Linked DNA regions of Saccharomyces cerevisiae S288C. The main gene of each other region encodes a partner of the protein of the gene in region 2 in a complex. Each region holds a gene or a part of one and is shown on either strand. Other genes may lie near its edges. A codon is read from its position in the direction of its gene.

What was found.
Region 1: the proteins of TIF34 (region 2) and PRT1 are in contact, whole or in part, in a crystal structure (PDB 3ZWL), measured with the Saccharomyces cerevisiae proteins. Residues at the interface, in NP_013866.1 of Saccharomyces cerevisiae: Lys20 (codon at 1,515), Thr163 (codon at 1,086), Lys164 (codon at 1,083), Lys166 (codon at 1,077), Pro206 (codon at 957), Asp207 (codon at 954), Thr209 (codon at 948), Tyr210 (codon at 945), Leu222 (codon at 909), Asp224 (codon at 903), Ser226 (codon at 897), Gln229 (codon at 888), Leu231 (codon at 882), Lys232 (codon at 879), Pro247 (codon at 834), Leu248 (codon at 831), Glu250 (codon at 825), Lys280 (codon at 735), Ile281 (codon at 732), Phe282 (codon at 729), Glu284 (codon at 723), Pro303 (codon at 666), Gln304 (codon at 663), Tyr331 (codon at 582), Val333 (codon at 576), Glu334 (codon at 573), Ala337 (codon at 564); in NP_015006.3 of Saccharomyces cerevisiae: Ile703 (codon at 751), Gln706 (codon at 742), Arg707 (codon at 739), Leu709 (codon at 733), Leu710 (codon at 730), Trp713 (codon at 721), Tyr716 (codon at 712), Arg717 (codon at 709), Ile720 (codon at 700), Met724 (codon at 688), Met728 (codon at 676), Phe730 (codon at 670), Ile732 (codon at 664), Phe733 (codon at 661), Asp734 (codon at 658), Val735 (codon at 655), Gln736 (codon at 652).

Annotation. Positions count from the first base shown.
Region 1 is NC_001147.6:1,014,796-1,019,346, forward strand, and holds PRT1 (translation initiation factor eIF3 core subunit b), read right to left. Parts: upstream 2,858-4,551; coding exon 566-2,857; downstream 1-565. Other genes in the region: 3',5'-cyclic-nucleotide phosphodiesterase PDE2, read right to left, coding at 1-26; PRE10 (proteasome core particle subunit alpha 7), read right to left, coding at 3,085-3,951. UniProt on the Saccharomyces cerevisiae protein: RNA-binding component of the eukaryotic translation initiation factor 3 (eIF-3) complex, which is involved in protein synthesis of a specialized repertoire of mRNAs and, together with other initiation factors, stimulates binding of mRNA and methionyl-tRNAi to the 40S ribosome.
Region 2 is NC_001145.3:556,953-560,505, forward strand, and holds TIF34 (translation initiation factor eIF3 subunit i), read right to left. Parts: upstream 1,573-3,553; coding exon 529-1,572; downstream 1-528. Other genes in the region: LDO45 (Ldo45p), read left to right, coding at 2,247-2,828, 3,204-3,553; LDO16 (Ldo16p), read left to right, coding at 3,414-3,553. UniProt on the Saccharomyces cerevisiae protein: Component of the eukaryotic translation initiation factor 3 (eIF-3) complex, which is involved in protein synthesis of a specialized repertoire of mRNAs and, together with other initiation factors, stimulates binding of mRNA and methionyl-tRNAi to the 40S ribosome.

The sequences.
Region 1 (4,551 bases), on a different chromosome or scaffold from region 2:
ATTCCAATCAGAAAAAGGGTGGACATATCAATAGGTTATGTTTTCTTCAATTAAGTAGTAGTGATCTCAAAAAGAATGTCTGGATACTCTAATTAGTGGCTAATAAAGCGTCAGTGCAAAAGATAAAGAGGGACAACAAAATAATTTAAAAGAAAAACGCAAAATAGTCGGTAACTCGTGCTAAAACCAGTAACGACAGCTAATATCAGGAAGATCCCACTTTATCTCAAATTTGCGCTTTTTAGTCCAATCTCTCACAGTGACTATAGTTTTCAATTTGCAAGTATATTCTCTCTAAGCCAATTTTTCTTCTTTATAATGCCTAAAACAAAAAGAAAAGAGGAAAAATTGTGCCCAGTAAAAAGAAATTCTCGGAGAACAAAAAAAGAAAAGTGCAACTAGAAAAGGACGCAGGACCCTTTTATAATTTTGTACGAGGAGAGCGACCCCTGCAGATTACAAAGATAATAGAGCCTATTGTAGTATTTATGAATATTAGACTAATTCTCATACTTATACTAGATATTGTTGTTAGTTTACATACAAGCCCGTAAGTTCATGAAATTTATTCGACCTTTTCCTTTGTTTCTTCCAAAACTTCTTCAACTATCTCTTCGATGGTGGTAAAGTCATCGCTGGCATCTTCTGGTTGAACGTCAAAGATTTTGAAATTCATAGATTTTTCCATTTCTTGGCCAATTTTTTCTCTATATTCGGTCCATTGCTTCAATAATTCACGTTGGTGTAGAATCAAATCTCTCATGGCGGTGTCAGCTTCCATTGCATCTTGCTCTTCGAATTGGGCAGACCATTCCCTCAAGTTTTTCCTAACCTTTTTCCTTTCGGCGTTAGACAAAATGGAAGCTGGCCTTGGTCTCCAGGCAAAGTTCTTGAAGCCAGCAATGATGTCTTCTTTAACTAAGTTACCAGCAATATTGAAAATTTTGTAACCATGCTCCACCTTGTGTTTCAAAGAACTTGACCATGCGGTAACGTATCTACCAGATGGATCCCAAGTGATATTAGTAGCCGCAGAGTAGGTAGGATGAGCAACATCTTTCAAAGAAGCTGAAACATCATTATTGTCATTAATATTCTTTTCACCTGGATAGTCCATATCGTAAAATTGTAGGTCTGATCTACGCATGTTTGGACCCACTAAAGCACCTACAACCACAAATCTACCCGCTGGAGACCAAGAAACAGTGTTGGCAAAAGTTTTTGGAATTTCTTTGACCAAGCTCCATCTTTTAATTACGTCAGTCTTTTCTTTAGTTTCTGGAGCGTAAAATCTGATTGTATTTGCTGGGATAGCATAATTCATATCAGCTACTTCATGAACAGAAATTGTAACAAATCTATTTCCGTGGGGTTCCCAACCGAATTCAAAGACACTATCTTTCAATTCAACCTTTTCAACTGGTATATCTCTTTCAGTCAACCTACAAATTTGTAGATTACTGAATTGAGTCTTACCAGACTTTGTGTGACGTTCGACATTGAAGCACAGGAACTCAGCTTGGTTTTGCCAGTGCAGAGTTACGTTGGAGACTTGAACTAAGTTAACGGTTTTTAGCACTCTACCGCGAGGAACTTCAGCAATGGTAGCAGTACAAGCGGAATTATTAGTCTCAGGAGTCCAATAAGCCAATAAAACAGAAGGCTCGTCACCGTTTCTGAATGGTTGTAATTTAACACCTTCTGGAGCAAATGAGAAATCTCTAATACCAGAAGGCTTCAAAGCCTTAGCTTCTAATGGCATGAAGTTTTTAGTAGCATCGTGAACTATTAAACTGTCTCCAACCATACGAGCACAATATTTATCATTATAAGACCATCTAACTAAAGGCCATTTCAGATATGGGCTCTTTATCACTGGGAAAGTTGCCATCAACAGACCAGAAGCAATGTCCCAGATGCATAATTGATGACCCTCATTTTTCTTGGTAAATGGAGAGAATTCGTTATCTTCTTCTACAATGATTGGTTCCGTGGAGAAAGTGACCAGGTACTTTTCATTCGGAGAGACGGAAGAGTTTCTTACATCTGGATGATAGAATCTTCTCAAACGATCGAAGTTTGGACCACCCCATGCAGTTACACCCTGTTGATGGTAAGAAAACAAATAGGTACCCTTTGGGGAGAATCTAACATAATTGGTAGACCAGTTCTCTCTAGATTCCACCAAAGAATCTTCTTCATTGAACATAGAGTTCCAGAACACACTAGTCTTCACGTCATCTTGTAATACAAACTGATCTCTCACTTTGTCGTCCATTAACCAGGATTTTAAGGAACTAGATGGAACGAATGTAGGCATATCAGGCTCCCTGAATTCGGTGTCAAAGTCGTCAGAATTATATCTTTCAACATCTTTCATAGTATAAAGAAACAAACGATGTTTTAAATCCAGTCTTTTACCGTGGAAACTCTTGATAATTTTTTTAGCATCGTTCATTGAGCCACATTCCACGAAGAGAAAACCTTTCGTCTTACCAGTGGCTTCATCAATTGGAAATTCCATGTTAACAACTTTACCAGCTTTGGAAAACAAAGAAGTCAAAGCCTTTTTCAAAACAGGAACTTTGGCGGATGGGATGACTGGGGCACCATTAACGACGATGTACTGATCGAAATTGAATTCTTCAGTGACCTTGTATTGTTCTTCCAGGTCGGAAAAATCAATGTCGTCAACAGGGATGTCCTCTAGCTTAATGTCTTCGAAAGTCTCGGTAGTCATTTGAATTATCTTTGACCTTTTGAGCTGTGTGTTGCGAGATACTATACTATGTACTGAGATGTTATTGAAATATAATTCGTAAATATTTTTCAATGTGCGTGGAAGAAAATTTTTCATTAGTTTCCCGCTATCCAAAATATGGAAAGGAGGGTAATAGGTGTCAGAAGAATAAAAGTATTAGGCGATCAAGTAATAATGATAAGATGGTGCACAATGAGAAGTTTATCTAGTTACGTAAAATGTAATGGAAGGTACTAAAATGTATTTTTTGTTTCGCGGCGTTACACGTGAGTTCATATTATTTCAACTCTTTGGTTCTTCTTAACGTATTATCAGAATGTCACCTATTCTAGGTGAATATCACCCTCTTGGTCAGTGGTAGCGTTTGCATTCGTAGCCACTGGAGCATTTTCATCATCACTGGACATGACGTTATCACTGTCATCTTCGTCCTCGTCATCATCGCCGTTAATTTCTTTTTGGGCAAAATCGATAGCTTCCTGTAGCAGATCGCCCTTAACGAACTTGTGCAGACCATTCGTTTCCGACAGTGAACACCAACTTATTTCCAATTCAAAATCCTTTTCCTTGTTATCCTCGTGTGCCAAATAGATAATCTTTGCAGCTTGTTTAACGGCCTCTCTTGCTGAAAGACCTTCTGGATGATGGTCAACTAATTTTTCCAATTCAGCCTTCGCAGATTGCCTACCTTTCCCAGTGGCAGCCCCCTTGTAGCCCCAATAAGAGCCACTTGGTTCCAACATGTAAAGATGAGCACCATTTTTATCTACACCACCAAAGATGGTACTGACCCCGAACGGTCTAACACTGTTGTATAAAGTGTGCGCCTGCACATATTGTCCTAAACGGTCTGCAAATGCAGGAATGGGAATGGGCGTTTTATACAGCTTTTTGAAGCTGGCGGCTTCTTCACGACCACGATTAACCAGGTGCCTACCATCAGGAATCAAACCTGAATAAACGCAACCGATGTGACGGTCTACGACTTGAATCTTGACATTTTTTTGTGGGACCAGCAGTTTAGACGTAATGAGCTTTTCCACTGCAAAGACTACACCGTCGTTACACTTTATACCGATTGATGTGGTACCGTTTTCGACTGCTTTGACGGCATACTCTACTTGGAAATTTCTACCATCGGGGGAAAAAACACTATTGGAAAGATCGTAACCAGTACCAATTGATGTCATTGCTGAAGAGTTATGCTTTTGTTAATTTGATGATGCGACGCTCGAATGTGTTTGAAAGCTTTACAACTGCACTACCAAATAAACCCTCTACCGCCACTATTACCACTTACTTTCTTATTTTTGCCACCGATTTAGAGGGGCGGCGAAATCTTCGTTAAACGTGATTTAGCTATCGGAACCCATTATAAATTGTGAGGAAGCTTACCAACTCATAAGTGGAATAAAGACACAGGCAACACTTTTCAGAAGCAATGTCAGCAATGATTCAGAAAAGTGACCCCATCAGGGTCGAAATCTGAGTGCTCAGATTATCTCTTCAAAGGGTAAATTACGGGTAGGACTACATATACAGAGAACTTCTGGGACCTGGGAAATACTGTTCTTTCTAGTGTGTATACATGGGAATAGCTGCATATTTCCAGACAGTTTAGATGTTACCTTTGTTTAAAGTTAGAGTATTTTTCACACCGATGATTACGAAGTCACACATTCGCATCCTGCGGTATTGTCATTGACAACGCGTAAAAAAACATATACTTAACGGAGGCCGAAGGAGATGAGAAACAATTGAAGAAAAGGAAAGGTAATATTTATTTAAAT
Region 2 (3,553 bases):
ACCAGGGCATCTCGAGCATCGTGGAGAAGATCCCTGTCGCTTTCTTTTTTTACCTCAAAACCAAATGCGATCGACGGGATCGCGGCAACTTTTTATCGGTCGGAATGGTTGAGCTAGGGCGTTTTCGTAAGGGGCGGGGTAGAGTTAGAATTGTAGTTTTTTTTCCGTAGTGCCGTGCCCCCATTACCGAATCTCGGCATTGGGTACCAGAGGGTTAGTGCGATAGTTCTTTAGCAAGATGTTAAACCCGCCTATGCCCGGGAACTGCATACAGGGAAGATCTCACCGGAAGATTACCTCGAAGGGGAGGGGTATGTGTTTTTTCCCCTCGTGGTTAAAGTGACTCTCTATTAACGTAATGAAAAGTCTAAATATTATAATGACTTGCACTTCGTATCAAGATATGCGAGAGATCATAATAAACGAAATAATATCCACAGTTTGGGTTTCATATTCTTATATATATATACGTGCGTATATGCATATATGTATGTTTACTATACATCAACATCAGCATCAAAATTAACATTAATTAGCTTCTTGCATGTGCTCTTTAGCTTCGGCGGCCTTCTCCACGTCGTATTTGAAATCAAAGTAAGATTTTTCGAAATGGTGTAGACGTATGAACCCATCTTCACCACCGGAGGCATAACTTGTGCCCTGTGGGCTAATGGCAACTGTGTTCAAGGGACCAAAATGGCCTTGTACTCTGCCGATTTCTTCTTCGAAGATCTTGTGGTAGAACCTAGCTTCAAACTTACCTTCGTTGGCACTGGTGGTGGTGACATCCTTGGCCTCTTGACCACCACCAAGAATAATGAATTCCTTCAATGGGGTGATTACGGCGGTGTTTAGAGGACAGTCTGTTTCGTATTTCTTAAGAACTTGTAGAGTCGATACATCGACCAAGAACGAGTTAGTATCTCTGGATGATGTAATAAAGTATGTTAAATCAGGAGAAAATTGCATGTCACTGATGGACTTTTCGTGCAAATCGATGGAATCCACGTATTCGTAGTTGTTGGACACATCGTATTTGCTGATCTTACCGTCTTTATGGCCTGCAATGATGTATTTGCCCTTAGTCGACCATCCAGCCACGGTGGCAGCGTCTAAACCTTCATGAGTGATAATTTTATGGATTGGCTCTTCGGAGACCTTTGTTAATTCGTGAGTGGCGGAATCTCTTTCAATTTCGTATATGTTAATGGAACCTGGATTTTTCATGACGTTGTCCAAGATAGCTAGAAAGTAGTTACCGCATGGGGAAAATTCAACTCTTTTAACGGGGACAGGCGATTTCCATGTAGCAACACATTGCCCGTTTGACACATCCCATAATTTGATACTGTAATCAGCACTTCCTGTAACACAGTACTTGGTGAAACAGTCGACGTCGATAGACCAAATGGTACCGGTGTGACCATCCAAAGTACCTAATCTTTCACCGTTCAACGAATACCAAACACTGGCCGAGCTATCTTTCGAACATGAAAATAGTAAATCACCTTCTTTGTTGTACTTCACTTGAGTTAATGGACGTTCATGACCTGTTAATTTGATAGCCTTCATATTCCTTGTCTGTGCTATTTCTTTTTGTCTTCTCTCCTGGCCAGTTATCTAACGACCTTAAGATATACCTCGCCTCTTGTTCATCAGTAACTCTTCTGCAAATTTTTCTGTTCAGTTACGACTATTCGAAATTTTTCAGAGGCCGGAAAAAATTTCACAAAAAAAAAAAAATATGCGAAACTGAAGGTGGCACGCGGGGTAACTGATATATTTCATACGAACAGCGGCTATACAGAAACCCCACTATATTTACAAAGAAATATGCTCTGGAATCTACCTACAAGTGCGTGTTAATGAGCTTGAGTCTATAACCATAGTTGTGATGAAAAAGTACTTCTTGCGCGAAAATTCAGAGGATAAGACAACACAACAGAGACCCGCTGAATAAGGTTTCTCATCTCAATCAATTACACCGTAGTGTAGGGTTTTATCAGCTCAAGCGAGTTTTTCAACCCTTCCACAATCTTCTCTTTATTAATAAATATGTTGGAGATATCTCCTGTATGGGTAATATGTATATATGTAAAAAAAAAAAAAGAAAAACAAAAGAACCAAGATCGGGCTACGATGGATAAAAAAAAAAGAAAATCTGACTACTCACAAAACTGGTATTCATCTGTACTTTCAAGACGATTAAAATAAAAAGTGACATCTGAAAAACATCCAATACTCCGATGGCAGCCAGGAATCGTAGAAAGAATAACAAGAAAAAGTCCCTTTTGGTAACGAGTGCCGCTCAAGAAAAGAATGCGACGTATGTGCTCGTTGCAGAGGAATTACATAAAAAAACAATCGATCTAAACATGGGTACTGAAACACCTTTAACGGAAAACCACGAGAATCCTATACCAGCGAAAGAATTCAAGCACCAGCAAAAATTAGAGCCAATAGACGAACATGATGATGGCGAAGACGAATTATCGATAAAATTTAAGTCCATGACAAAAAGCTCGGGGCCTATTACTGAGGCTGAAGTTCAAAAGCTGCTCCTAAGCTATGCCTTCACAAGTGCTGCAATACAGGAGGACGAAAACGAGAAAGAATCGCGTCACTATCCTATTAAACCGCCTTCGCCATCAGCTTCTTCTTTGTCCGCCTATTTTCAATCCTTCGTTGAAAAATGCAAACAGGTTTTCTACAACTTCAGTCTGCAAACAGTAGAAAAATTAAATGCTCTACAAAATAGCTTGTACGAAGTATTTTGGATTATTTTTATTTATTTAAACTACTGGTTCCCCAATGTGGGTGACTATGTGAGGTATGTCTGTCGTAGCTTCTCGCGCCATAACGAAATTGCCCAATTACTAACACGTATTTTTACTTACAATATCAACCACCTCCACTAATGAACAGGCACAGTATAGAAAAAAAATCAGATCTGCATTTAAAAGGCTGTCTTTTCCAATGATCCTCGACCTTAGCGCGGCTAATCAATTCTACTCACTTTTTTGTTCGCTTTTTTTTTTTTGACCCGTTGAACCAAGCGGGTTAATTATTTTTTAAGGATAAAGGCTACCACAATCATGAGAGAGACACCATGTACTTGCAGGATTCTGATATTTTTTCTATGCTTGTTTGCTGACATGCAGATTCGGAGCTGGTTTTGATATTTCATAATCACCTATTTTTGAAGCAATACTTTTGGACAACAAGATAGCATTATTATTAGGATTTCCCTATCAAAGAGTCATTTCCGTGCACTTCGTGAAAAATCCAGTCAGAAAGTTCAGCAAGCAGTCAAGAATATCTACTTTTGTTTCCAAGAAAAGCCTTACCTGACAGCGTTCAAAGTCTCCTTTGCCATTGGACTTGTTATTCCGTGTTCCCTACTTTTTTTGATAATGGTTTCTACCGCTACATTTTTCTTTTTTGTTTACTTAACCCTTTTCGTAGTGATAGGTTTCTTCTCCTCATTATTCATAATACCCTTATTGGGCATTTCCTTTGTGTTTGCCATTGGCGTGGTATCATTTGGCTTCTG